Rattus norvegicus: one gene and its partners. The protein of the gene in region 1 purifies or fractionates together with the protein of each later gene. This does not show direct contact. Links are inferred from orthologs where the notes say so. Each region holds a gene or a part of one and is shown on either strand. Other genes may lie near its edges. The genes, in order: Ppp2r2d, Ecsit, Ppp2r1b, Ppme1 and Ier5.

Region 1 (5,881 bases):
GGTGGAGTCACCTGAGAGGAGGGTACCTCAATGGGGAAAATGCCTCCATCAGATCTGGCTGAGGGTAAACCTGTTATTTTCTTAATTAGTGATTGATGGGGAAGGGTCCAGACTATTATGGGTGGAGCCACCTCTGGCCTGGTGGCCCTGGGTTCTATAAGAAAACAGGCTGGGCAAGCCAGGAGGAGCAAGTCAGTAAGCAACACACTTCCATGACCTGTATCAGCTCTGCTTCCAGGATCCTGCCCTGCTTGAGTTCCTGCCATGACTTCCTCCAACGATGGACCGTAATGTGGAAGCATAAGCCAAATATACTGCCTGTCACTGATTATTAGGGCAGCTACTTACAGTTCTGTCCACTCAGTCTGTCATTCTTCATAGAGAGCATTCCAGTGCACACGGGCACACGTCTGTGACAATGGGAACCGTTTTAACTATTGCAGTCTTCTTACATATCTTAAACATGCAGCTACAATTAGGCAGAAAGGAATACTTAGCAACCCAGGCATTACTTGAGATACCCCTGTCTACGTGGAGTCTGAATAAACTTAAGTTAGATCCCAGTTCTGCAAGAAGTCTCAGAATGCTTCTTCCCAGGCTTGGAATTCCTTCCTCAGGCTTCTCCCGGTATGTCCTCTCAGAGCTGTATACATATGCTTCTAACTCTCTTGATGATCTGGAGTGTCACTTGAGTGACACTCCTATACCCTCACTACCTCACTACTCATTACTCTCACACACCCAGACGCCTGCGGCTCATTTTACCCTCCTACTTAACTCGGGAGACAGTTCTTTCAGAAACAACCCTGGGTGCTGCGGCTGATGGAGGGTGCTATTCCATCATGACTTTCCCAAACTCTGCCACAGCCAGTCCTCTCATCAGAGTTCACCCCCTGAAGACATCGTCCTGCTTTGTCCCTGACCACCATGCCTCCACTACCATGACTAGCCTTCTTTGGTCACTCTGTTCTCCCCTCGGCTTCTGGCTGTGCTTTAAACATGTTAGCGAGCTAGGTGTGCTCAACAAGGTGGAAGCAGAAGTATTTCAATTTAGAGACCAGCTTCAGGTTACATGGCAAGACCCTAATCAAAGTGTGTGTGTGTGTGTGTGTGTGTGTGTGTGTGTGTGTGTGCGCGCGCGCGCGCAACTGAATTAAAACTAAAAACATAGACAAGGTCAGGGTGGACCTTCGTGTGCACTGGCTGTCCCCACTTCTAGCAGCTGCCCAAGATTTCGGAAGGAGACTCTTATCTCCTCCAATTGCTCTCCTTAAGATAGCAACTGCTCCAATCTCCTTTCCCCTGCTTCTGTGCTGTATTTAATTCTACGCCACTTGACTTTCCCCAGGTTTTTCTTATTGTCTCTTCTCCACTGCAGATTAAGCTCCACCAAGACAGACGCATCACCTCTACACAAGCAGCATCCCAGCCAAGACTGAGAACAGAAAAGACACTTGCTAAAAGGCAGAACAGCATTTGTGGAGAATGCTCTGGTTTGGAACAACTGCCCTCTAGTGGTGCAATAAGCTCACTACCAACTTCATAGTGACTTCGGATACGTCAAGCCCACGAACGAATAATTCCTGTTCATGCTAGAAAAACACACCCACAAATAAAGCAAATGTCGACGGTTCCCTGGAGCTATACTGAGAGCTCAAAGAAGTGCCCTGAAGTAGCACTCTGGTGAGATCGGTGCTCAGAAGCTACGGTCAAAGATACTGGGGGCAAGCAAGCCTGAGTGATGGGCAAAATTACGCACGCAGGTGCTGGGTTCCAGGTGCTCCGGGATTCAGAGACCCCGCCAGCCCACGGCCGAGCGCTCTCTATTGGCAGATCCACGGAGGTTCCGCGTTCCCGTTGGCTCAGCTGTAGGAAGGGTCCAGGCCTTCGAGCATCCAATCCAGCCGGCCGCAGAAGAAAGTCTGAGGCCTTAAGAACGCAGAGGGCGTCGCGTCCTAGCCCTTACACCACTCGAGAAGGCCATCTATATCTGCTGGCCGACTATTCCAAGACACTCTTTCCATAGACCGCAGCGGCTACGCAGGCCCAACCTCAAAACAGCTCGCGCAGACGCAGTCGGTGCACGGTGCGCCCCCGGCAGCCCCCGCGGCACTGACCGTCGGAGGAGGCGGAGGGGGATGACGTCATCCGGCGGGGCGACGGGCTTTGGGCGCCATTTTGAAAAGGGAAAAAAATTCCCTCCCCGGCGGCGGCGGCGGTGGCGGCAGCGGCAGCGGCGGTGGCGGCCGGGGCTGAGCGCTCGGAGCGCCTCGGTCGGCCGCGCTCAGCTGGGCGCGTCCCGCCCGCGCCATGGCAGGTGAGGACCGTGCGCGAGCGGGCGGGCGGGCGGGCGGACGGTGGTGGGGCGGGGCGGGGCCGGCCTGACGGCGCGCTCTGTTGCAGGAGCCGGAGGTGGCGGCTGCCCGACGGGCGGCAACGACTTCCAGTGGTGCTTCTCGCAGGTGAAGGGCGCTGTCGACGAGGACGTGGCGGAAGGTGAGGCCCGACCGATCCCCGAGTCCCGGGTGCAAGGTCACGCTCAGCCGCCGGTCCGGACGCGGTCGCCTTTGCCCGCCTGACCGGCGTTGTCTTGTGAGACCCTCGGCCGGCCAAGCATAAGAGAGGGAGGGGCGTCGGTAGGGAGACCGCTGTGGACGCAGGCATGGGGAGAGACTGTGGCTGAGTCCCGCTTCGGGGGTCTGTCGGGGAGACGGCGGTGGACGCTAGCCTTGGGAGGCTGTGGGGAGATGGCTATGGACTCCGGCCTCGGGGGTCGGTAGGCAGATGGCCATAGAGGGCCAGTCTCGGGAGGCTGTGGGGAGACGACCATGGACGCTGGCCTCGAGGTCTGTGAAACGGTAAGGCTGGGGCAAAGGTATCAAGCCTTGTAAGGAAGCTAGGCCTGTGGTCACAGGTCTTTGGAGTCTAGGGTGCACAGCCGTCGTAAATGCAAGTCTCTCTAGAGTCTATACGGAATAAGACGGGACTGTAGACACTAGTCTCTGGCAGTGGCCCCGGGATTCGGCTAGGAGTTGGTACCACAGGGTGAGGTGAGGCTCATTTGTTGTGGGGGGGGGGGGGTGATGGCAGTTGACCTATGGGGTAAATCAGGTCCCGGACACATTTCTGTGGGGGCCCATGGGCTGTCTTCTCCCTGGCACCTGTGTAAGGGGGAAGGATATTCATGCAGGGTTATCAGTCAGTCTCCGGGAGCCCATGCTCTCTGTGCTACTTGACTCAGGATGGGATGGAGCACTGAATTTCTCAGGGTGCCCTGTTTGTAGACCTTGGTGTGCCAGTCTGTCCAGTCCAATCTCTGGCCAGGTAGACATCGGTCAGCTCTGATCTCCACCTCTTGGTGTTGAGCAAGAGGAACTTACTTTGTCATGGGATCTCCTGAAGCTCTGCAGTAGTGGCATTTCCCTGAGTGTTTTCTCTTCCTCCACAGCTCTTTAAAGCCACTTCTCCAGCCTTCCTTCTTAGTTTTTTGTTTTGTTTTAGATTTATTGGTTGGTTGTGAAAGGGTCTTGGTATTGTAGCCCAGGCCTTAAACTCTGTCCCATCCAGCTAAGTGCTGGAATTTCAAAGTGTTTGTGAGTGTAGGCTTATACACGCCCCTGCATGTGTAAAGATTAGAGGACAACGTGTCAGAGGAGTTGATTCTTTTCACCATGTGAGTCCCAGGGATGGAACTTGGGTTATCAGGCTTGACAGCAAATGACTCTTCCTGCTAAACCCCCTTAAATTTTATTTGTTTTTGGGTTTTGAGACAGAGTCTCATGTAGCTCAGATAGGCCTCAAACTCCCTATGTAGCTGAGGCTGGCCTTGAACTGTTTGTGAGACAGGGTTTTTCTGTAGAACAGCCCAGGTTTTGTTCACGAGGCTGGCCTCAGGGATTAAAGACGTGGACTGCTATGCCCAACTTTGGCCTTGAATTCTTGACCCTGCTGTTTCCGCTTCCCAAATTCTGAAATTATTGGAAAGCGCTGCAAAGCCCAGCTTTCCTTACGACTATTCCTGAGCCTCCAGACTCAGTCTGTTGCTTTGTTTTTCCCCTAATCATAGTTTAAATGTGCCAGGTACACAGGGAGCTAGGAGAGTCTAAAGGCTGTGGAGTTTATTCTTAGAGATTTAACATTAGCCTTTTATATTAGAGTCATTGCAGCTTGTTCAGTGTCTAATACATGGGCCTTTCACTCTTTTAAAAGAAAGTCTATTTACTCAACCCACCTTTCTTGTCACTAGCAGCCTCTCCTCTGATGTCCTGTCCTGCTTCTTGTTCCCTCCTTCACCCTGTCTCTTCTGGAAGTGTCTGGCTTGACTCATGACCCTTGAGAACATTCAGAGGTCTGTGGCCCCAGGGGACAAGACCAGACCATGTCATCTTGACCTGTGAAACTGCTCTCCAAAAGTTGCAGAGGTGCATGGTTTGGGGTTGAAGTCAGGTGACTTTTATGTGGAGTAGTTTATTGATTTTTTTTCTTCTGTATTGGCATAAAATGTATTACTGTGTTTCATTTTTCATGTGCCAGGTAGGTGACAGGTCAGCCTCACTCCTGTTGACTCATCCTATTTGTGATAATAGTGGTAGGAAGGTTAATCTGCCTTAATTTTGGGTTTCTGTGTGGTTTGGTTTGGTTTAGGTTTTATTGACCAGTTAAATGAATTTTTTAAAACCTACTTTTATTTATTTTATTTACATGAGTACACTGTTACTCTCCTCAGAAGAGGGCATTGGATCCCATTACAGATGGTTGTGAGCTATCATGTGGTTGCTGGGAATTGAACTCAAGACCTCTGGAAGAGCAGTTAGTGGCTCTTAACTGCTAAGCCATCTCTCCAGCCCCTCAGTTAAATGAATTTAAAACGACTTTATACTTTGTTAAATACCATTCTTTCCCTTAAAAATCATAACAGAAATATTTTGTTGCTTGTGTTAAACTGATTAGAACTTTTTGTGGGTGTTTTGTTTTTGTTTTGGGGGGTTTTCTTTTTAATTTTTGTTTTGTTTTGCTTTTTGTTTCGAGACAGGGTCTCCCTGTGTAGCCCCAGCTCTGTAGACCAGGCTGGCCTTGAACTCAGAGATCCTGCCTACCTCTGCCTCTCTGAGTACTGGAGTTAAAGGCATGCTCCACCACTGCCCAGTCCTTTTATGATTTTTAAACATGTGTTTTAAGTAAAACTTTGAGTACATCTAAAATTTTTAGTTTGCAAGTCTTTTGTATGTGTAATATTATATGATTGCCTGTATTTTTTTCAGTTGTATGTATTTACAGCTTTCTGTTTTAACTCACGCACTTCTTAATCCATCATTTATTTTCTGTCATTTTGTCATCAGACAGCTGAGATATTGTTTGACTTTTCAGTAATGGTTTAAAAAGGCAAAGGTAGTCACTGGACTAGGACTTGTACCAACAAAAATCACAACCCCAGTCTTATCCAAACTCACACTTGAAGAGGAAATGTTGGTGAGAGATAATTAGGAGGTGGCATTTCAAGGGGTTTAATTCATGTGCTGAGGCTTGGATTTGAGATTTTAAAGTATAGCAAAATTTATGTGTTGAAACTTGTAACTTATGGGGCTTTTTGTTCAGCTCTGCAAAATTCCAGGTAGCCCTGCTCCTATTTTGTCTTTCTGCTGTCCTGGGCATAATGGTCAGATGTGTGCTAGAGATTAATAAGTCTCAGAGAGCCTAGGGGACAGAGGGCAGGGTGTAGATAGGCTGGCCAGGCAGAGCAGGATAGAAAGGGCCTTTATTTCTATTTGAGTTTTGTGTTTTAATGTAATAACCCCTGATACAGTATTGAACTGTGTACTAATTGATGCACTATTTTTATGTATATAAGAATTAGATTTTGCTCTGAGTCAGGTTAACTCTT
Region 2 (6,144 bases), on another chromosome or scaffold:
GTTCTAGGTGGATTGGAAAAGACTGGTAGACCAGGCTGGCCTTAGCTCTAAGAGGTGTGCTTGCTTCTGCCTCTTCTCTTCATATGAGGACACCAGTACTCAAAAACTGGTGACTTTCGTGTCTCGCGATCACCCCTCAATGGCATCACTTCACTCCATCCCTGGGTTAAGTTCCTTCTTCTGGAGTCAGGGTCTTATTAGCCCAGGCTCCCCCATGTCAAGTGACTCTGAAGTGTTGACTCTCTATCTCTCGAGTTCTAGGATGACAGGCGGCATGTGCTGGGTTTGCTCACTTTCCTTTCCTTCTCTTTTCTTTTCTTAGCTACAGATACAGTTTGAGGCTAACCTGGGCTACATAATAATAGGTATCCTAAAATCCTAAAAGTAGCTAACATCCTAGAGACAGTTAATCTAGTGGCCAAGCACAGTGGCATGGGATGCTTATGTGTGGTCGGGTCTAGAGCAGCCCTCTCTGCAGTAGCATGTCTTATATCTGCAGATCTCTTCGAGTTCAAGGCCTGCTAGAACATAGTCCAAGAATGGAGTTTTTGTGAGGGTTCTGAGTGCTCGTAAGGAAAGAAGATATGACTCCTGTGACCTCCATTTCTTCAAGACACAGAATTGTTCTTGTGCTTCTGCCCAGGTGTAGTGAATGGCAGTGCATTTATTACAGCCCTTGTTATTCATGTGCCTCTAGGGAAGACATGTTTTTACTACGCATGGCCTTATAATTGAACACCTCACCCATGCGATGCCTCTTAACCCTCAGAGTATAACTTGCCTGAAGCTCTGAATTAATGGTGGCTATTGAAGGAGACTTTAGTCAGCCTCAAAATGAGGCTCCACTCTCCCAGGTTTACACTGCCAACTGGAGCTGTAAACAAAGGCTAAACTGGTCTGCATAAAGAGTTCCTGGCTAGCCAGGCCAAGCAACACAGCAGGACCCTGTCTAAGCAAAACAAAAGGACTGGGGCTATACCTCAGTTGGTAGAGTAACTGCCTACAATGTCAGAGGCTCTGGACTGTACCCCAGCACTACAGAGACAATGTGTGGTGGCATAGGCCTGTAATCCCAGGACAAAAGAGACAGGAAGATCAGATAAGTCAAATTCAGCTACACAGAAGTTCAAAGCTAGTCCAGGCTGCACAAGACCTTGTCTTAAAAATGATTACTTATGAGGTTGGCAGGTTAGCTTGGTAAAGTGCTGTCAAGTCTGATGGCTGAGTTCAATCCCTGGGACTCCCAGGATAGATTATAGCAAATTATCGCCACATGCACCACCCGCAAAATAAAACAATGTTAAAAAAAAGCCTATATTCAATCAATATATGTATATGTGTATGCGTCTGTGTATGCATATGAATAATATATCTATATGTAATCGCTATTATCTATACACACATACAACAAATCCAGGGCCATCCAATCATCTACACATACACTCCATAGGCCTCTAAGCTCTCAGTGTGGGTGGTCTGAAGAGTCAATCTAGACTCCCAGTTGGGGAGGGAGAGAGGGGTGTCAGGAATGCATGTCCTTTCTCACAGTAGCCCTTGTTGTACTTATATGGCCATTTCACATAGATGAATTCAAACTTCAAAAATTGTTACTTAGGGGCGGTAAAAGTGCTCATAGCCAAGCCTGATGACCCAGGTTTCATCCCCAGTACCCACATGGAAAGAACATTCCCCCTAAGTTGTCCTGACTTCCACACGAACGTGCTCACACAGATTTACTTACACACATAACACACAATGAAAATAAACATAACTTGACATTCTGTTAAAGCTGTTGGCAGTGTTGCCCACCTGAAGTTCCAGCTATTCAGGGGGCTGATCCCTGAGGATCTCTTGAATCCAGGGTTTTGAGGCCAGGCTGAGTACCACTGCAAGACCCTGACTCAAACAACTGGACCAACCAAACTAAAAAAACCCGTTTAGTAAAAAGAATAAGAATAAATCCCGGGACTTAGGCTGTGGCTTAGCAGACAGCGGTAGAGTGCTTGCTTAGCACGCAAGAGGCCATGGGCTCCGAACCGGATGTGGTGCTTCCAGTCCGTAACAATAATTTACCATCACGGCGGAGAAAACTGGACCGGACAGACGTAGGGGAACCCGATCCAGCGCCTCCGCACCGGTACCCAAGGCTTCTAGAGTTCGGTGAGCAGCAGGGCCTGCTCCTGAGGAGAAACCAGTGTCTTCCGCCTTCCTATTGGTGGATCTCCACTTGAGGGCGGGACCTATCGTCACAGGTTTTTCTGATTTGCTGTCACCTTCGACTCGTAACCGGAAGCTGTGTGGCTCAACATGACGGCGCCCAGCGGTCCCAGCTAGCCTGCTCGGGTGTGCGGGTGGCCGCGTGAGTAGGTGGGTCGCGCGTGGGAGGGCTATGGGACCGTCTGGGATTGGGGCGTCCACTTCCAAGCCTGGTAGAGCCGGGGAATATGACCTTCAACTCGACCTCAGTCAGGGCACTGTGACCTTTTCAGGTGCAGGCTTGGGAATGAGCAAGGAAAGGTTGCTGGGCACCTCTTGCTGCAGGCGTTCGTTTCACAGATGGGATAGCGGACTCGGGCAACGTACATTGTCTGTGAGGCAGGCATTGGAACCTTCCAGCCTCAGAGACTCAAAATCGTGCCAGCCCACACGCATACATACACGCTACCTCGCTGTTCCGATTTATCCATGTCTTGTAGAAACTTTCTGCTTATTCACACTCAGTTGATCGGTGTTGGGCATTTACAGTGTGCCAAGCACTGACCCAGTTGGTGGAGACACAACAATGAGAAAAACAGATTTTTTAAAAAAGTACTATCTAGGAGAGCCAATTATTGAGCAAATCACACACACACAGAACAGGTAATCTCGTGATTTCAAAACAGTGATTGTTGCAAGCAGTGTGTTTTTCCCTGATTCAAGAGTCTTTATGTGTCCCAAGCTGGCCTCGAACCCATCATGATCGTCCTCCTGCTTCAGCCCCCGAGTTCTGGATTATAGGCATACACCAAAACAGTAAACAGTAGGCAGAGGGTAAAACAAGTTCAAAGCCTGGGAAACCAATAAACTTGTCTTGTTTCAGAAACAGTGTAGCTGGTGCTACAAGAGAAAGGGGGAGTACAGCAGGTAGAAGCCATCCGATGTGTATTTACTTTGAAGTTTTATTTTGGTTATGGTGTGGGGGGTGGGACACATGTGCCATGGTGCATGGTGCAGGTCAGAGGGCAGCTCTGAGGTTTTATCCATACACCTTAGGTTGGTTCCAGGGTTTGAGCTCAGGTCATTAGGTTTGCTTTGTTTTGACAGCAAGTTCCTTTCCCAGCTGAATTCTCTCTCCCTGCTCTTGTTTAAAGTTTAGACAGGACCTTTCTGTAGCTCAGACTGCCATGGAGCTCACTAACGATCTCCAGCTGTTTTGATTCTGGAGGCCATCCTCCTGCCTCACACTCCCCAGTGCTGGCTTTACACACACAACACCTATCTCAAGCACATTTTCTTTTTAAAGACAGGGTCCCACTATGTAGCCCTGGTTGGTCTGGAACTTGCTGTCTGTATAGATTGGTTTCACCTCAAACTCAGATCCGCCAGCCTGTGTCTCCCAAATGCTGGGATTACAGGTATGTGCTATCACACCCAGCATTCTTGTGTGTTCCTGTGTGGGTACAGGGATGTATGTTAGTGCATGTACACATGTAAGCACATGTATGGAGGAAAAATGTCAACCTAAGATGTTGTTCTTCAGGAGCTGTCCACCTTGTGCTTTGGGGCCTGCTGCAGGGAGCTCAGGGCTCTGTTACAGGGAGTTCAGGGCTCTGTTGCAGGGAGCTCAGGGGCCTGCCTGCTTCTGCTTTCTCAGATTCCTCAGATTGCAAGTGCATGGCACCTCACCTGGCTTTGTAATGGGTGCTGGAGCTCAGGTCCTCATTCTTTCAGGGCAAACAGTTTACCAATGGATCCATCTTTCCAGCACAACTGGTTTCTGTTGTTAAGAGCTTCCTTTTGCAATGGAGGGAAGTAACTAGCAGGGCAGAGAGAAGGCAGAAAGGTATGCAGGAAATCACTGTGGAATGGTATGGTGGCCTGCAAGGGGATAGGTTTGGAAGTAGTCTCCAGGACTATCTATTGACTGAATAGGGACATAGTGACTGCTGAGCAATTCTTACATTGGGGCCTGAATAACCAGGAAGGGTGGTGCTACTGGCTGGCCTCCAGAGAAGCACAGTCAGCAAAGGTGTTGTCAGTGTTCCCTGGATGGAGTTTGGCATGGCTGGTTTGTACCAAAGTTATACTTAGGTATGGAGGCAAAAACATTAGGGAACCATGAGCATAAACACTAACAACTCTAATGCATGAGGAGCCACCTATGGGTGTTACAATGCAGATTCTCATGCAGTAGACCTGAGTTACAGCCAACATTCTACAGGTCCTGGAACACAATTTGCAAGGTTTTAGAGTCTTTTTATCCAACTATACCAAGCAAGTACCTACCTTGAGCCACACCATCAGCCTTTCCGTGGGGGATTCTAGATAACACTGAGTCTCAGTTCCAGCCACTCACTAGGGGAATCTAGCAGAGGCTCACTGGGCCCAGCAGCTCCCTGGAGGAGTCTAGGCCAGGTCTATAGAGTCCCAGCCTGAGTCCAGTCTAGTTACATTTCCTAGGCCAGCAGCTGTTGATAAAAGTTGTCAGAAGTATGGTCATGTTTCCACTAAGCCTGAATCTACAGGTTTTGTGCTCCCAGGGCATTTGTCTGCACCCTTGGCAGTGTTGCAGATAATGCTGACATTGAAAGGCATCTCATGATTGGCTGAGAAGTAGGCACGGGTGCCAGGGAGAAACCCAAGGATGTTAGCAAGGACTATAAGGGAGGGGACGTCACTGTCTGATACTTGGAAGTTGACACCTCAAAGTCATTGCCTTCAAAGTGTTGAGCACAGCGGTGCATTGGGCGGGCATTACTGACAGGACTAGGGCAGCCGTCAGGCTGCTGAGGAGGAGGAACCAGTGTGTAATCATGGCTTAGGGGAAGCTCTAAGGATAAAGAAAGCAGGGAGTGGAGGGAGATTTGGGGCCAAGATGGGAGATACTGGAAAAAGAGTTGGATTTTTTTTCTCCTTAAATAGGTTCTCATATGTAGCCTGAGCTGGCTTGGAGCTCACAGGAGTCTGGCTGCCTTTACTCCTGAATGCTAGGATTAAAGGTGTGCATTACTGTGTCTGGCTCAACTAGAGAAGGTTGTTTGTTTGTTTTTACTTAGAGAGAGAGAGAGAGAGAGAGAGAGAGAGAGAGAGAGAGAGAGAGAGAGAGTGTGTGTGTGTGTGTGTGTGTGTGTGTGTGTGTGTGTGTGTGTTCATCCACTGGAGGAGCGGAAGTCAGGACAACTTGTGGGGTCAGTTCTTTCCTTCCACTCTGGATTTCGGGGATGGAATTCTGGTTGTCAGACTAGCAGCAACTGCCTTTGTCTGCAAAGCCATCTTGTCACCCCAAAAGGAGTTTTGTTGTTGTTTGGTTTGGTTTTCTTGGTTTTCTTTTCCTGATTTTGAGACAAGTTTTCCTGTAGCCCAGGCTGGCTTCATACTTGCTGTGTATCCAAGGCTGATCCCACCTTCCACCTCAGCACTGGGATTTACAGGCGTATGCACAACACCCACCTCCAGAAAGTCTTAGTGGTGGCAAGAATGATCCAACCTCTTCCTAACATGTTCTCTGTGGCCTAGCTACCCTGATACAAAAGCAAACAGGTATACTAAGGAAACTACAGACTAGTGCCTCATGAACACAACTGTAAAATTCGCTTGCAGTGGGCTTGCGAGCATGCAAAAAGAATTCTACATCTTGCCTAAGAGAATTTATCTTCAAAATACAAGGTTAGATTATTTGTTTTTGTCTTTTTTTTCTTTTTCCAAAGCTGAGGACCAAACCCAGGACCTTGTGCTTGCTAGGCAAGCGCTCTACCACTGAGCTAAATCCTCAACCCATTTTTTTTTTAAAAGATTTATTCATTTATTATATATAAGTACACTGTAGCTGTCTTCAGATACACCAGAAGAGGGCATCGGATCTCTTTACAGATGGTCGTAAGCCACCATGTGGTTGCTGGGAATTGAACTCAGGACCTCTGGAAGAGCAGTCAGTGCTCTTAACCA
Region 3 (5,427 bases), on another chromosome or scaffold:
AGATTTTAAAAATTTTTTTATTTATTTTTTTGATGAAGGCCAGCCAGGAAATGCTTTGAGGGGCCTATAGTTCCTATGAAACTCCACTCCCATGGTCCAAAAGCAGCCAGAGTATGGGAACCAATGGGCATGAAACTTACCCATGTCCTAGGTGGGAGCTGGCTGTGAGCATTTGGTGCTCAGAAAATACTCCATGTATTTTATTTTGGAGAAATGGAAATACACTGTGCTCCCTCTGACTGTGTATAGAAGACCTGCTCCTGGCTTACCCGTGGACAGAAACATTAAGTACCTACATATATATATATATCTATGTAAGGCATGGTTCTTATGTTAACTGCTGTGTTAAAGGCAGACAGGGTCCTTACTCTCATGGAACTTACATTATAATGGAGGAAAACAAACATGATAAAAATCAGGCATAAATGTTATAAAAATCAATGTAACACAGTAGAACACTGGCTGCTAGTCAGCAGAACTCTGAAGAAGTGACAGGCAGGCAGGAGACAACTAACATTGGAACATGGTGGTTGAAAGAGTCCAGGGAAGACAGGAGTGGAGAAGGAAGGTGGGAGCAGATCATAGCCCAGGGAAGACTTTGCAGTTTTGATTTTCTACTGTAGACTCAGTGAGGCTGTACGTAGATGTGGAGAAGAGGTGTGGTGTGTAATTTACATTTTTGAAAGGTCATTCTGTCTTATGAGTGGAAACAAAATTGTAGGACGGATAAGAATAGAAAGAGAAGGCCAGGTAGGTGGCATTGATAGGAGCCAGGCAAATGATGAGGGTGCTTTGTTGTGTGTGTGTGCTCTATTGTATCACATAGACAGCAGTTTCTTGTCCCATTTTTCCTTTGGTGCTCAGAGGATTATATGTCTAAAGTTTTACTTTATCTGATTTTCCTAAGTCTGCAGTCATGACTTCTAATGTCTGACTGAGCTTTAATTTAGTGTTCTACTTACTCAGAAGACATCCAAGGGTCCCGCTTGGCGCCTAGCAGCTCTGTACACAGAGACACAAGTTAGCTTCCGCCTTTCTGTGCACACTGGAGCCTGACTGTGTCACTTGGCTGTCACCTTGTCCCTTGTCCCATCTCATGCTGCTGTGATCAGCTGGAAAGAGCTGTCATGGTGATCTCCTTTGTCCTTTAAATTCTTCAAATGTGTTATTAAGTACTTAGGCAAGGATAATTTTTCAACTCCTTATAATGCTTTGAATATAGCATAGTTTAAAAAAATTACTCTTTATATCAGATGTGGGTAAAATGTTTGCCTGATCAACACTCAGAACCCATGGAAAGGTGGAAGGGGAAATCTGACTTACGGGTGTTGTCTTCTGACTCCCACACACATTATTAACATACAGTAAATAACATTTAGAGCATCTTCTTTATGTTAATAAAATCTTGGTGCTGCAGTCAAGATAATTTAACCAGATTACCATTTGTGGTTTTCACATGCCAGACTAGGCAAAGGAAGAAGTTATGCAGCCATTTGAAGACTTCAAGCCACAGCATCATATCTTAACTAGGGTTGCCATTGCTGCCATGACCAAAAAGCAAGTTGGGGAGGAAAGGGTTTATTTGGCTTACACTTCCACAATGAAGAAGTTCATCATTGAAGGAAGCTAGAACAGGAACTCAAACAGGGCAGGAACCTAGGAGGAACTGGTGCAGAGGCCATGGAGGGGTGCTTGCTCCCCTCCCCATGGGCTTGCTCCCCTCATGACCTACTTATCCTACTCTCTGATAGAACCCAGGACCATCTGTCCAGGGATAGCACCGCCCACAGTGGACTTGCCCCACTCCCATAAATCATTGATTCGGAAGATGCCCTACAGGCTTGTGTACAGCTTGATCTTCTCTGGCATCTTGCCAGTTGAGGCTCCCTCCTCATGGATAACTCTAGCTTATTGTCCCATTGACAACTCAGCAGCACAGTGGTTTTTCTCTCCCCTGCTTTCTGAAGTAGTACCTGTGGCAGAAATCTCATACTGCACTCCGTGCAGCATTTCAGCAAATTGACCAAACAGACTGTTTTTCTCTTTAGGATTCTGTGCGCCTGCTAGCTGTAGAAGCGTGTGTCAGTATTGCCCAGCTACTGTCTCAGGATGACCTGGAAGCCTTGGTAATGCCTACACTTCGGCAAGCAGCAGAAGATAAATCTTGGCGGGTTCGCTACATGGTGGCTGACAAATTTTCAGAGGTAAAATGTGTTGGCATTTCAAGGATTAAAAACCTCAAAGGCATTTGCCCCACAGATTTTCTATCGGACACAGCTTACAAATTCTGTTGAATGGTTGTGAATTAAAAAAATAAGAGAGCCTGCTTAGTTTTTCCATTTTCATTACTCTATGATGATTGTACTAAATTTTGTTTTTACTATTTTGTTAGTATACATTACACCTGTATAAATTGTTTCCTAGCTCCAGAAAGCGGTGGGCCCTAAAATTGCACTCAGTGACCTCATCCCCGCCTTCCAGAGCCTCCTCAGAGACTGCGAGGCCGAAGTCCGAGCAGCCGCTGCCCACAAAGTAAGAGGTGAGACTGGCTGTGGAGTCCTGTGACTTTGGCGTTGTCCACTCACTGTAGTTTGGATGGCGTTTTGCTAAAGTAGGACCCAAAATGTATAAACCAGAGAAAAATGAGTCTGTGCAGCAACATTTCCCACTCTGATGCAGTTGTCATGGTAGGAAGTCTGGCCTAGTTTTAATTCATAAGACGCTGCAGACAGATGATACCAGCATGCGGAATGTGGCACTGTCCTCGAGAGCTGAGGAAGGTCCCATAGTTGAGATCAGAGGACTTTCAGCTCTGCTGTGAGAAGTAGGCGTATTGCCCCACAGAGGTTGTTTGCTTGGACTTATGATTTAACTTGGAAGATGTGGTTAATTGTCCTTGGCTCCTTGACAGCACTGTGTTTCCTGTTTCAGAGCTTTGTGAGAACCTGCCCACTGAAGGCAGAGAGACCGTGATTATGAACCAAATCCTGCCCTATATAAAGGTGAATGTGACTTCATTTTATTTTGTTTACCCTACCTATGAAGCTCTTAGCATTTAAAGAAGAAAGAGGCATAAATGAATCAAATGCATAATGTGTGAAAATATTTATAGTTGATTTGTGCATGTTATACTTGTAAAGCTTGTGGACGCATAGTCTGTTACTCCAGACGGCTGGGTCGGCCGCTCTGCTGACCAGTGCTGCTGTGGACTGCTTGGGAGGTGGTGTGCAGGCTTTCGTTGTCTTTAATTTTTATTCTGTTTTAGGAATTAGTGTCTGATACCAACCAACATGTCAAGTCAGCCCTAGCTTCTGTAATTATGGGATTATCTACAGTTTTGGGCAAAGAGAATACCATTGAACATCTTCTGCCTCTATTTTTAGCTCAATTAAAGGATGAGGTGAGTCTGGCTATGAATCCCTTTGCTTTGGTGTAATTGATTTGATAGGATCTTGTTTCTTCTCCTTTTCTTTTTTTCTTTTGGGTTTTTTGAGACAGGGTTTCTTTGGGTAGCTCTGGCTGTCCTGGAACTCGCCACTCTGTAGACCAGGCTGGCCTTGAGCTTAGAGACCTGCCCGCCTCTCTGCCTCCCAAGTGCTGGGATTAAAGGGACTGGAAAGCTTTGGTTTGGTGATTTTGCTAAGATAGGACCCAAAGTGTGAAGATGGGGCGGGGGAATCATAGTTTAGATGTTTGACAATCCTTCTCTTTGGGTATAGGGTTACAGGTTTCCCCAAAACTGGGCACAAGGAGTAATTAAAAACAAACCCAATTGTGTGTGGTGGAAAATGCCTTTAATCCCAGCACTCTGGAGACAGAGGCAGGTGGATCTCTTAAGTTCAAGGCCAGCCTGGTCATAGACCAAGTTCTAGGAGAGCCAGGGTTACTTAGAGAAATGCTGCCTCTAAAACCAAACCAACCAAGCAACCAACCAAGAGCGGCTGGAGAGGGAGCTGCATGGTGAGCTGCATGAGCTCTTCCAGAGGACGTTGGTTTGCTTCCCAGCATGAGCTAACAACTGTCAGTGAATCTGGTTCCGTGGGGTCTGAGCCTCTTCTGGCCATTGCAGGTGCCAGGTCCACAGAGCATAAACATGTTCATGTAAGTCATGAAATACGTCAGTCTTAAACTAGCCTGAACTACCTGCTAAATGTTTTATGTTATATCACTGGTTCCTTATAGTTAAAGTTCATATATCTTTGCTTAAACAGTATCTTTTTACTTATGTTTAAAATGTAGCTTCAGATATTAACATTTAGTGGCCTGAGGTGTGGCTCAGCAGTTAAGAGGCCTGCTACTTGTAGAGGACCAGAGCTCCAATTCTGGTGTCCATATTGAATGGCCCATAAGTGCAACTCCAGTTCCAGAGGATCCAACTCCCTCGCTGGCCTTCATGGGCACCCACACATTTGGGCACACATGTACACTTTACACAGACAGTACATACATACAGATGAACAAATGATGTGAAAGTTAGTGTCAGGCATGATCGGAGTGCTTTGGATATGCCATTCACACCCAGCGGGCTTGAGGCTGACTCCTCATGCAGAGGAAGTGAAGCACAGGGATAGACATCTGAGGTCTCCCCGCGCAGGGGCAGACCTAAGACTTGAGTACATAGAACTGAACTCCAGGGCCTGGGCTTTTTACCATCGCATAGACTTTATGCTTAATTATTAATTAAAAGTTTTTTTTTTCTATTCTTTTTTTGGAGCTGGGGACCGAACTTAGGGCCTTGTGCTTGCTAGCAAGCGCTCTACCACTGAGCCAAATCCCCAACCCCTAATTAAAAGTTTAAACTTTATTATTGTGTGAGTGAGTGTGCACTCGTGTATACATACAGAGCTCAGAGGCTATCTCTGTGGAGTCTGTTCTCTCAATCCTCCTTTATACGAGTTCTGGGGATTGAATCCAGATTGCCAGTTTGTGAGGCAAGCCCCTGTTCCTGCTGAGCCTTCTCACCTGCCAATTTGTTAATTGATTTTTAAATTACAAAATCATGACTTTTTACTGATACTGTGGTTACGATTAGTGACACTGTGTTTTGGATTACCTGTGTACTTAGCACTAAGGATTTCTCTCTGCCGGTATTCCTCTGGTCAGTTCTGGCCCTCAAGTCCATGGCTCTGTGCAGGCTGGACAAATGCCTTTCTCACAGCCTCACTGCAGCTTACCCCACCTTTTAAAACCTGAGCCGAGACTTAATTTCTGTTTTCTGTTTTGGTTTGTTTGTTTTTGTTTTTTTTTCAAGACAGGGTCTGTCTGTGCAGCCCTGGCTGTTCTGGAGCTCATTCTGTAGACCAGGGTGACCCCCACCTTAAGAGATCTGCCCTCCTGTGCCTCCCAAGTGCTGGGGTACAAGATGTGGGCCACCCCCCAGCTTAGTACTTTTCATTTGAAGTTCTGTTTAGCACTTTTTATTTTCTC
Region 4 (5,427 bases), about 39 Mb from region 1:
AGCTTTTCTCTACCCACCAACTCTGTGTGTGTGTATATGCATGTACATGTGTGTGTGTGTGTGTGTGTGTGTGTGTGTGTGTGTGTGTGTGTGTGTGTATGTATGTAAAATGGTTAGAGCTTCGCTGGAGCTTTCCTTTTTCCACTAGGTGTGCATGTGTATATATGTAAGGTGGTATGTATGTATGTATGTATATATGTATGTACGTATGTATGAAGTTGTTGAAACTTGCTTATTGGAGCCTGCTTTGCTTCATCCACTAAGTTTCTGTGTACAGAGTCTTCTGTTTCTTTCTCACAGCCCCCAAAGAGTTTAGTTTCTTACTGGTCACAGAAAGTACTGGTTCCAGATAATTAAGCTTTGCTCCTGCCCACACTACCACTGATGGTATATTTCCTGCTGCAGTCAGCAGAGGCCACAATCACCAACTGCACACGTGGCTCTCCTCGGTTTTCCTTGTGGTGTGGGAGCTGGGCTTCAGCAACGGTTTACTTCTGGAAAGGTTATGAGCACCTTTTTCTTACAAGCACTATTAATCTCTGAGTACAAATGGATTTAGGGTGCAGTTTGGCTTTAGTGGTAGCCACAGGGCTCTGGGATCAAACAGAGTGGGCCAGCAGCTCTTCAGCACAGACAAAGTCAAGACCACAGGCACTGACTGGGAAGGAGCTTGGGGAGCTGGCAGATTGCAGATAAACCCCATGGCAGGCTTATCCTACTTTCTGTGGAACCCACATTCCTCCCAGTTGTCCTCTCAAGTCACCAGGCCCCAGACTTACCTTGTCAGGGGCATCCTCATGGACTGCATGGCCACACTGGGGTAAGACCTGCATCTGGAACTTCCCTGGAGAGGAAACAAGCAGGCAACCTCAGGGACAAAAAGCCCTCCCTCCTCATCTCTGTTCCTCACAGGTCACTGGGCAGCCCAGGAGGACCATCTCCAGGACAGTCTGACGAGTGTAACTAGACCCTGTTCCTCTCCTTTCATGGTTCACTTTTGCCTCTTGGTGTAAATTCACTTTGGGCAGAAAACTCAGCCCCTGTGCTCACAGGATTCAGTCCAGTGGGAGAGTAAAACACAACACTATCGTCGATGTGGTCCCAAGTGTGAAAATGGTCACATCGACTGTAAAAATGTAGTAAAGGTCTTGATGAGCCAGCAGGCATCCAGGCAGGCTTCTGCACAAACACAGAATAGCCCACTCCAGGGAGAGATGGCTTAAAATGGCAGTTACCCATGGAAATGATGGCCTAGCACCATGCTGATGTGAGTGGCAGCAATGGAGCTGTACTGGAAAAGCAGGGGCCACATGCGGAACTCTGCAAGTTATGTTAAGAATACTGAAGTGGATGATTACAAAAGACAGCAGATGACTATTTAACAATGGGCCAGGCTCTGTAAGATGTACTTCCTCACACTGTCTTACAGAACACTGCAAGCTTACAACTTACAGTAATTTGGGGGGCGAGGCTATTTGGGATTAAAACTAGGGCCCAAGCATGGTACTCAAAACTACCAGTGAGCTACAATCCGAACCCTAATAGGACAGAATTAAGAGTGAACAGCTGGGCAATGTAGCTCTGCTGGTGTGTGTTGGTCCAAGGGTCTGGTGTCAGAGTGAGCAGAGCTGAGCTGAGTTGCTGCAGGAGCAGCAGGGGTGTGCCTGGCAGCCAAGCACTGCAGTTAAATGCTAACGACTGGTGAGGAAGTGTGAGGGGCCATCTTACTCTCTGAACCCAGTTTTCCCATTTAAATGCAAGAGAGCTGGAACAGTCTTTGGGGCACCAATGCAGGCACAGCAGTGGTTCTCTCCTGCAACAGTAGCTCATGTCTTCAGTGTACTATTCTATCCACTGTTAAAACCAACTCTACAATCACATGGGTAAGGAACCTAGTTCTGATTAGGGCAATGCCCTGCCCAAGGCTGTGAGATTAGTGAAGGGACTGAGTCCATACCATTTATTAAGCCTATTAATGGCCCTCCTCCTGCATATGGCTGCCTCTCCTTCAGATCTGTCATATTATTAACTCATATGATTCTAACACAGAGCAAAGAATGGGTCCTGCAGCATCCACAGCTGCATGGCCCTCCTCTCTGCACTTGTGTGTGACACTCATGCCCACCACACCTCGTCACCCCTCTGAGGCTGCATCAATGTTCATGTTTTACACGTGAACAATGTTCCAGCTGACTGATTACTGGGAAGCAGCATCTAAAACTCACCACCACTCTGAGGCTCTCTTCTCCCTCCTCACCATGATGTCTTCTAACAGACTTTATTCCCTTTGGTACCTATGTTTTTTCTTTCTTAAACTCTCAACATTTAAAAAAAAACGCTGAGAAAACTCTTTCTGTTCCCATCCCAGTGTTAGGCACTTCTATAGACTTAATAGTTTCCAGATGGACCACTTCATCTTAACCTTTCCATCGTGGTTACAGATAATATAATAGCTCCCATCTCTAGTTAGGGGAAGACAGTCAGTCACTTCAAAAAAGGGAAGATAACCTTGGGAGGCAGAGGCGGTCTGAGGTCAGCGGGGTCTACAAAGGGAGTTCTAGGTTAGCCAAGGCAACAGAGAGAAAACCTGTCCAGGGTGGGGTGGGGACAAAACAGAACAACAGCACCAGCCCTCAAACAAAACAAAAGGGAAGGGAAGATACCCGACCACACCCCCTCCCGGGCTGGAGAGGAGGCCGTCCAATAGAGCTGGCTCACTGCTCATGCTCTCTCCACTGTGCGTCACCATCTACAATCGATTTTCCTAAGATTGCCCACATTTCCTTGCCCTCAGAAGAGGATCCATGGGCACAATTCCTGGATGACTTACCCTGCATCTGGCCTATGGTCAGATCTTTATCCAATCTATCAACACCTAGAACAAAACAGGAGAATCTGTGAGTAACTCCCTAGAAAAGGCCTTGTGAAACGGGCTTCTCAGTACGGAGTAAACACGGCCTCAGAACTGTAAAGACCACTGCACTCTCAATCAGACAGATACAATTCTCTGACTCCATATTCCTAACAGATGAAAATTTTCAGGTTGAGATTTCTGGGTAATCATGTTCATTTTTTAAGATTTATTTATTTTATTTCTGCATATTTCACATATGCACTTGGCACATGTAGAGGTCAGAAGGATGTTAGACCTGGAATTACAGACGGTTGTGAGGCACCGTATGAGAAGTGGGAACTGGATTCAGGTTCTAGAGAGTAATGAATGTTCCTAACCACTGAGCTGTCTGTGCAGCCCTGCTCATGCTCACTCACAGATGTTTAGACAAAAACAACATTTTCTGTCTAGATTCAGCGTTCAGAGTGCTCTAGGAGTTAGGTTCCACCAGGTCCTCAGGGCAGGTCAACAGCATGCAGACTGGAGGGTGTTTACTCCCATTAGGTTTAGGGCTGCATAGGGGTTGGTTAGAAGGGGGTTTCTCCACTTTAGAAGTCACTGCCCATTTGGTTAATAGTAACAGTTGTGATGAGGTCACATCTAGATGACAGTATACTCACACTTCTATGGACTGGCTGTCTCCCACAATTCATGGGGAAGCCATAACCCCCAGTATATTTGGAGATGGGGTCTACAAAAGGTAAAATGAGGTTGTAGGGTGGGGGTCTCTGACACAATAAGATTATTGTCCTTGTAAAAGACCTCAGAAAACTGTCTTGCTTCCTCTTAGCCATGTGGAAGCACAGAAGGTCTGTGAATCAGGAAGAGCTCTGAGAACTTAATCCAACCCATACTCTTATCTTACACTTTCAGCCCCAGACTGTGAGAAAAATAAGGTTCACTTCTTTAAGCCACCCAATCTATTTGAGTATTTCAAATGTATTTCAAATGTTTGATTTCATCCAAGGAAAAACAAACACACGCACGCGGGCACGCGGGCACACACACACACACACACACACACACACTCACAATCACACACATACTCTCACATACACACTCACAATCACACACACACTCACAATCACACACACACTCCCAGTCACACACACACACTCACAATCTCTCACACACACACACGATCACACACACACTCTCACAATCACACACACATTCACACACACTCACAATCACACACACTCACAATCACACACACACTCACAATCACACACACACTCTCACAATCATAAACACACTCACACACACTCATAATCACACACACACTCTCACATACACACTCACACACACACTCTCACAATCACACACACTCACACACACTCACAATCACACACACACTCACAATCACACACACTCACAATCACACACACACACACACACACACACACACACACACACACACACACACACACACACAGCACTTACCTGCCAAGAGCAGCAGTTTAGGAATAGGACAGCTAAGAAAGAGATTGGATAAGCCTCGGAACCAGCCGTCCCAGTACTTCTCTGTTTTTGCCAGCTCAATTCTCCAGGTGTATGGATGATCCTTCTTGGTCTGTAGGGATGAAAGCAAGGTGAATCTGAGGTTGAGCCCGGGGAGCAGGACCAAGACCAGGTCTGTGGGAAGGAAGGTGAGCCAGCACTGTTACGAGTTCACTACAGCCCAGATAGGTGAGTGTCCATTTAACCCTGTAGCAGCACTGCACGCTGCTGTAACTTCTGGATGATCTGGACCTTTCTTTTTCATTCCTATTGGCTTTCTTCTGGCTCACGGAAGCCTCCTGCCTCAACCTCCCAAATGGCCAGTGCTACAAACAAGGTTCACCATAACTACTGGTAACTTTAGGTAAATTTAGGAAGCAAATAACTATTGAGCCAAGGTACAACTTTCCTTTCAGTGAGTATAAAGATTAGCAAAAGATTCACACAAAGAACATAGTGAAATAAAACAAAAGAACCCCTGCCACCACCCCTCCCCTCCCCCCCACCAACCTAAGTGAAAGAAAAAGCAGAGACTGTCCTTCAAGTTAGGATGACTACCAGAGAAACGTGGTAGACGTCTGGGAGAGAACAAGCTCATTTGTGAGTACAGTGCTGTTTTCTCATTTTCAGGTTGATGATGATGACCAGGGACAGTCGTTCTAATAAGGTGACGTGACAAATACATCTGACAACTGGGTGGTGAATGGCACACAGTATGCTATCAAATATTAGGTGAACTAGCTGGGCTGTGATAGAGCATGCCTTTAATCCCAGCACTTGTGAGGCAGATGCAGGCAGATCAGAGTTCAAGGCTAGCTTGGTCTACAAAGCAAGTTCCAGGACAGCCAGGGCTACACAGAGTAACCCAGTCTTGAGAAAATAAAGCCAACCAAACAAAAAACCTTTAGGTGACCTACTGAGTCCCCTACTTGCCTGCATCATAGAACTAGGTCAGATACAACTGAAGCAATGGCAGGACGAAGCACCAACTGCAACAGGAGATCTAGATGTGGACAAGATGACACTGTCTGCTC
Region 5 (5,992 bases), on another chromosome or scaffold:
GCTCTAAGAGGTAGGCACTATTATTATCTCTGTAATCAAATGAAAAAAGATGGAATCACAGAGAGGAGAAACACCTTTCCAAAGTGCTCTTCAACAAGGAGGAAGTGGAGCGGGAGCTGGGATTCCCACTCCAGTGGCCCGAGTTTGCAAGCATTGTTTTACAGTGACTTAAAAGTTCTCACACTTTTCCCAGTGGAAGTCTGGTGAGGCCTGAGGCCTTGGCCCTTTCAAGATGTTCCTAAGCCTTATTAGGACAATCTGAAAACCCCATTATTTCTGGGTTTATCAGAAAATTGGGGTAGGAATGGAACTGATGGACTTTGTTTTTTTGTTTTTGTTTTTTGGTTTTTTTTTTAATAAAGTCAGAATGCTCAGTGGGCATAGTGGTACACACCTTTAGTCCCAGCATAAGGAGGCAGCGGCAGGCAGGTCTCTGAGTTCGAGTCTAGCTTGGTCTACAGAGCTAGTTCCAGGACAGGACAGCCAGAAAAACCCTGTCTCAAAAAACACAAACTAAATAAATTAATATTTTTTTAAAGAAGCGCTGATGAAAGAAACAAAGCTTTGAAAGGACTAGGTTGTCAGGCTCTACCCCAGATGTACTGTCAGTCAGCCTGTAAATTTAAACAAGCTGTGTTAGGAACATGGGCTATCTCCATACGTGAGTTCAAGTACCACTTACTACATGGCGTTGATAAATATATCTGTGAGATACAGCATTACCAGATACACTGTGTCCTCATGAGTATAGGTCATTTGTAATACAGTGGGTTCCATCAGAACCTCACTGGACTGCATTCCTTAGGAAACCTGAAGGGACACACACACACACACACACACACACACACACACACACCCCTCTGTTGTTTTAAGGGTGAGTGGTCAGGATCTAGATGCAGACTTGGATTTCAATATTCAATAAATATTTGTAAAAAAATTTTTTTAAGGAGAGAAAATGGAGAAGAACCTCATGTTATTACTGACCATACGTTGTGGTTGCTACATGTTATAAATGTTTTCTCTCCTTCTCTATGTGGACTGAGAATTCCTGGAAGGGGGGAACCCTGGGCTTCAGTTATAGCAGGGATAATGGCCAAAGCTAGCACCCCAAAGCATCATATCTGAGCGCATCCTAGTTGTTAACCAGCTCTAATCAAGCCTACCTCACTAGTGTTTCTTCTACATAAATACATTGGTTAGGAAAACCCTACTGTAGGATGAGGTAAACTTTTCACACTAATAGACTCTGTGTAAGCTGTGGTTAATTTTATTATTTAGATTACCTCTGGGAGCTGTCATTTATCTTCTGTATAATAAAGAAGGTATATACATGATTTTTCCTTTTTAGATTTGAAACTAAAGGGCCATGAGGCAATTTACTGAGTCATCAGGCACCAGTACCATCTTGTCGTGGTCTTTTTGACAGGAATTTGTAAGACTCAGTGGATGGACTACATTGACTAACCAGGAAAATTTTAGGAACTTTTGCCCATACTTGACACAAAACAAATTTACATAATCAATATGGGGAACCAGAACTTCTTTATTTGTATTTTTAGAACTTACTAGATTTCCCCAAGAATAGATCAATTACTTACTGTGCATTTTTTTAAACAGACAAAACCATTGTGGAAAAGTAGGTAACATCTTCATTTAATCTATACTGACAACTGAGAATCTGAGGAATGGAATGAAATATGCCAGCTTTGGACGAGAACCAATAACTTTGTGCCTGAATTCTGTTCCTTGATAAAGCAGAAGCTTGGAAATTTCTATAAACTCCCCTTTTTGTTTGTAGTCAAATGCTGAGTGTAACGCTAATGGGAAAGGGACTAACTCCAAAATAATATCTCAAATATATCGTGGTAGTTGTCATATATTGCCATCGCTTCCGTTTCTGCCAAGAATGACCAGAAGTTACAGCTGTACCAGCTGTAAGCAGCTGGAAATTGCTCATGAAAGGAACCGAACTTTATTGTGCAGTAGATTCCAACACACTAAACGGATGAAAGCCCCAATAGTTCGGTTCCTTACAGTGTGCCAATGTACTTCACAAAGCGGAATTCCTAACTACAAACAGTTCTGTGTGCTTCGTTCTACCACATCACCCGCTCAGAACACAAATCCCACCGCACTTGATCAAAGGGTCGCCTGCGATCTCCCCCTTTAAGAGCTTGCTCCGCGGGACTAACGTTTGAACCGGCCCCGGGGCTCCTCCTCTGCCTCTGATTGGCCGGGGGTGGCGCACGAGGCGCATCGGCCCGCCCAGAACGGTTGGCGGCGCTTTGTGATTGGCGTTCGCGGAGCATATATAAACCGCGGTGTGGCCCCGCACCGCTCAGTTTAGAGGCTGGCCCAGAACGGGTCTGTTGACTGAGGAGAAAAGGCGGAGGGAACTACGCATCACTAGATCTTTTCTCCACCGAGCTTTCACACGCTGAGGGTACAACCACAGAGGCGAACCTGTTCCTGCCTCTCGCGCCTCTCTCAGCTTTAGAAGGCAAGCAGGCGTTCACCCCGTCGTCTGGAAGAGGAGGCAGGATGGAGTTCAAGCTGGAGGCTCACCGTATCGTCAGCATCTCCCTGGGCAAGATCTACAACTCGCGGGTCCAGCGCGGCGGCATCAAGCTGCACAAGAACCTCTTGGTGTCGTTAGTGCTGCGCAGCGCCCGCCAAGTCTACTTGAGTGACCCCTGCCCTGGCCTCTACCTGGCCGGCCCTGCGGGGACCCCGGCGGTACCGCCGCCACAGCAGCCCGGAGAGCCGGTAGCGGGGCCACCATCTGGCTGGGGAGAGCCGCCCCCACCGGTCGCCCGCGCCGCCTGGCCGGAGCCCGAGCCGCAGCCTCAGCCTCAGCCTCAGCGTCCCTCGGTGTGCCACACGCCGGGAGCGGGAAGCCCAGAACCGGTGGCCGCGGTGTCCGGAGCGGAGGACGCTCTACGGGGCGGAGAGGAGGACTCGGCGGCAGCTGCTTGGGGCCGCGTGGAACGTCCGCGCGTGGCGCCTTCTGGAGGCAGCTCGGACGCGTGCTCCGAGGGGCCCCGGGCACTGCGCCGCCCGTGTGGCTGTCCGTCGGCCGTGGAGGAGCGGTCCTCAGAGAACGGGTCCCCGGCGCCAGCCGCCCCGTGTCCCAGGAAGCGTGGCGCAGCGGGAGTGGGTGGCGGCCGCGCGGGCTGCTCCGCGCCCGGCTCTACCCCTCTCAAGAAGCCGCGCCGGAACTCCGAGGAGCAGCCGGTCACCGACGAGGAGGACACCGACGAGGAGATGGAAACCGGGAACGTGGCAAACCTCATCAGCATCTTCGGGTCTAGCTTCTCGGGACTCTTACGGAAAAGCCCTGCGGCCGGGCGGGAGGAAGAGGAGGCGGAGGAGGGCGGCCCGGAAGCCTCCGAGCCCGGGCAGATCTGCTGCGACAAGCCGGTTCTGAGAGACATGAGCCCCTGGAGCACAGCCATCGTGGCCTTCTGATCCCCCGGGACCTGAGCGGCTGGAGCTTGAGCAGCGGGAGTCCCCGAAGTGCGGCCGGGGCCTTTCCCGGCCGCGAGGACGAGCCGAGACCGTAGGCGCTGGGCGCGTAAGGGAGACTGGTTGCTGCCGGGCAGCACATCGCCCCGGAAGGGGCAGCCCGGCTGGGCCGTGGCTCTCGAGTCTCATCCTGAGACCTAGAGTGGGAGGCTTATTGGAAGAGGACGATCGATCGTTAACTTTTGTATCAGTGTGTGTCCATGTGTAAGTTTGTCTTGTGTTGAGACGATTCTGTGGTTCTGGAATGCACCACCCCTTCCCCGTTCTCGAGACTTTGGGGGTGCAAACAGGGACTTTCCTCTGCCAGCAGCACAGAAAAGGAAGCTGCTGAAAGGTTCGAGACAGGGGAGTTCCCCGATCGATCTTGGGGAAGAGAGGGACTTTACACACAACCTCTCTCCTGAAAGCTAGGACCACACCGGGGCGCGGAGTGGCGTTTTCTCACAGGATTTCCCCAGACTAGAGGGAGTTCGTCTGGAGTAGAGACTTGTATTATTTTTCTTCCTCCCCATCTTTCTCTGGCACAGAAGAAGCGCTTCTACCCTGTGATTACTCTGGGAAAGCAGAACATTAAGGGACCTTCAATTCCCCACAGGGGAAAAAAAGCTTGCTGAACTTCACAGAAGAGTTCAAGCTTGGAAATATGGAGTTTATAGAGAAAAAGATATATTTTTAAAAGCTCTAGCTCAGAACTTACTACACAGTGCTTTTAAAAAGTGTTTAATGAAACAAAGTTTACAGACGAGCTCTAAGTGGAAGGACCTTATGGTTTTGTAGATACGGTGACTCCAGTCTTTGTTGTATAAAGGTTGGGGGAGCTGATAAGGTTTTTGTACAGTATTTTCTCCTCCTCTGTATTGATTTTTGTATAAAAATGTAACTTTACGTGTCTAACACGTATTAAATATTTTGAAGCAACTCCACTACCTGCTTGTATGTATGTAATCACTTGTCTGGGTTTCCAACCAGGTGGGGGGAGGGGCAGCCAGGCTGGGAAATGGAAGGTGTGGTTCTTCGTATCAGCCAGTCACAGGCTAGGGACATTGTTGGCTGACTAGAATAAGTATCAAGAGAGACACGTTTAAGGGTTTGGTTTGGTTTTTTTGTTTTCACGCACATCCCCATTCACAGGACTAATAGATACTGGAATTAATGACTGGCAGTTTGAAACCTGCCACTGAAACAGCTTTCTCTGTAGTCATGGTTTTCTATAGTTTGACTTGATGGAATCTTTAATATTAAATAATACTAAACGCCAAGTTTTACAGCCTTTCCAATATCAAGTATTTCCACCAAAACTTTGTTTCCTAAACAGATCTGGTAATCTATTAGACCATGGGTCACTTTGTAGATTTGAATTGGGGTGGGAGTGGGGTTTAGAAAGCAACTTTAGAGGTCTTAGTAGGACCAGTCATGAAGAAACCGATGAGATTGACTTCTCTAAATGTTCAGGTTCATCACTCGTGTTCCATTAGATGTCAAGGCTGACATTTGTCTTCAGTTGTAGAAAGTAAATGTTGAAAGTGAAATTATGTGTATCAAACCAGAGAAGGAGACTAAGGAAGGTTGGGTAAATTTAATTCTCATGTAGCAGAACTTCCTGATTTGCTCTTGTCACCCTACATGATGACATAAGTGGTTTTGGTCACGATAAACAGATGACAGCCAAGACAATTTAAAGAGACCGTTTTGTCTGAGGCAAAACGTTCAGTACTTAAGAGGTAATCTCTTAGGAGCAAACCAATTAGACACTCAGTTTTAAATATAATTGCTAGTTCTTCAAAAGATGCCACTAGTTTCTAACTAAGTAGAATGCTTAAGAGGCAGAAACAGGAAAGAGACAAAAGGAGCATAGGAAATATGCTCTTTGGCCTTAGTTTAAGAGTGTGTGTGTGTGTGTGTGTGTGTGTGTGTGTGTGTGTATACTTCTATATGAATTATCATAGTTGAATAGGCCATTGCTTTGCTCTTTAAGATTATGACTGGTTCTTTAAGGAGGAGAGCTGTTGCCTTCCTACTCCATCACCACAATAGTATGTACATAATACATAGGATAAAACACGCTTTAATCAGGGCACTATTCAGTTGTTTTCTTTCAGAAATTAGCTATTTAAGCTCTATTATAACTACTAAGGATCCATTAAGTGGATCTTAAACTGAAGGTGTCCCCGGCCTTCATTCTGCAGCCATTTCCTTTGCATGCATGCACTTATGCTTGACCCGCCCTCTCGGTGTGCTTTGTATTTGAAAGGGGTCACATTTGGTGTGAAGAGAGTTGTGTGCTTGTTTCAGAAGAGACTAAGGCCCCTCTTCATCCTTAGTTGTGCACAAAGATGAGCCGTGGGACCACGTGTCTGCTTAATTTACAGAAGTAAACTGGGAAAAGGTGTCCCGTCTGTCTTTTTGTTGTTGCAGGAAATGAATGGTGCAATAGCATGGGCTCTGGAGCCAGAGTGCCTGCATTTTC

The links.
Region 2: the proteins of Ppp2r2d (region 1) and Ecsit purify together in Homo sapiens (affinity purification with mass spectrometry; 3 studies listed by BioGRID and IntAct, counting the BioPlex papers as one, with this or other methods). This does not show direct contact. The link is inferred for Rattus norvegicus from reciprocal best matches to the Homo sapiens genes PPP2R2D and ECSIT.
Region 3: the proteins of Ppp2r2d (region 1) and Ppp2r1b purify together in Homo sapiens (affinity purification with mass spectrometry; 4 studies listed by BioGRID and IntAct, counting the BioPlex papers as one, with this or other methods). This does not show direct contact. The link is inferred for Rattus norvegicus from reciprocal best matches to the Homo sapiens genes PPP2R2D and PPP2R1B.
Region 4: the proteins of Ppp2r2d (region 1) and Ppme1 purify together in Homo sapiens (affinity purification with mass spectrometry; 4 studies listed by BioGRID and IntAct, counting the BioPlex papers as one, with this or other methods). This does not show direct contact. The link is inferred for Rattus norvegicus from reciprocal best matches to the Homo sapiens genes PPP2R2D and PPME1.
Region 5: the proteins of Ppp2r2d (region 1) and Ier5 purify together in Homo sapiens (affinity purification with mass spectrometry; 3 studies listed by BioGRID and IntAct, counting the BioPlex papers as one, with this or other methods). This does not show direct contact. The link is inferred for Rattus norvegicus from reciprocal best matches to the Homo sapiens genes PPP2R2D and IER5.

The regions. Positions count from the first base shown.
Region 1 is NC_086019.1:203,093,378-203,099,258, forward strand, and holds the start of Ppp2r2d (serine/threonine-protein phosphatase 2A 55 kDa regulatory subunit B delta isoform), read left to right. Parts: upstream 1-2,204; 5' UTR 2,205-2,310; coding exon 2,311-2,317; intron 2,318-2,403; coding exon 2,404-2,496; intron 2,497-5,881. UniProt on the Homo sapiens protein: Substrate-recognition subunit of protein phosphatase 2A (PP2A) that plays a key role in cell cycle by controlling mitosis entry and exit. Involved in chromosome clustering during late mitosis by mediating dephosphorylation of MKI67.
Region 2 is NC_086026.1:28,890,538-28,896,681, reverse strand, and holds the start of Ecsit (evolutionarily conserved signaling intermediate in Toll pathway, mitochondrial precursor), read left to right. Parts: upstream 1-2,315; 5' UTR 2,316-2,367; intron 2,368-6,063; exon of another isoform or gene 6,064-6,144.
Region 3 is NC_086026.1:60,098,445-60,103,871, forward strand, and holds part of Ppp2r1b (serine/threonine-protein phosphatase 2A 65 kDa regulatory subunit A beta isoform), read left to right. Parts: intron 1-2,048; coding exon 2,049-2,204; intron 2,205-2,424; coding exon 2,425-2,539; intron 2,540-2,931; coding exon 2,932-3,002; intron 3,003-3,265; coding exon 3,266-3,400; intron 3,401-5,427. UniProt on the Homo sapiens protein: The PR65 subunit of protein phosphatase 2A serves as a scaffolding molecule to coordinate the assembly of the catalytic subunit and a variable regulatory B subunit.
Region 4 is NC_086019.1:164,084,426-164,089,852, forward strand, and holds part of Ppme1 (protein phosphatase methylesterase 1), read right to left. Parts: intron 4,467-5,427; coding exon 4,337-4,466; intron 2,876-4,336; coding exon 2,831-2,875; intron 845-2,830; coding exon 780-844; intron 1-779. UniProt on the Homo sapiens protein: Demethylates proteins that have been reversibly carboxymethylated. Demethylates PPP2CB (in vitro) and PPP2CA. Binding to PPP2CA displaces the manganese ion and inactivates the enzyme.
Region 5 is NC_086031.1:69,818,906-69,824,897, reverse strand, and holds Ier5 (immediate early response gene 5 protein), read left to right. Parts: upstream 1-2,355; 5' UTR 2,356-2,541; coding exon 2,542-3,468; 3' UTR 3,469-4,448; downstream 4,449-5,992. UniProt on the Homo sapiens protein: Plays a role as a transcription factor. Mediates positive transcriptional regulation of several chaperone genes during the heat shock response in a HSF1-dependent manner. Mediates negative transcriptional regulation of CDC25B expression.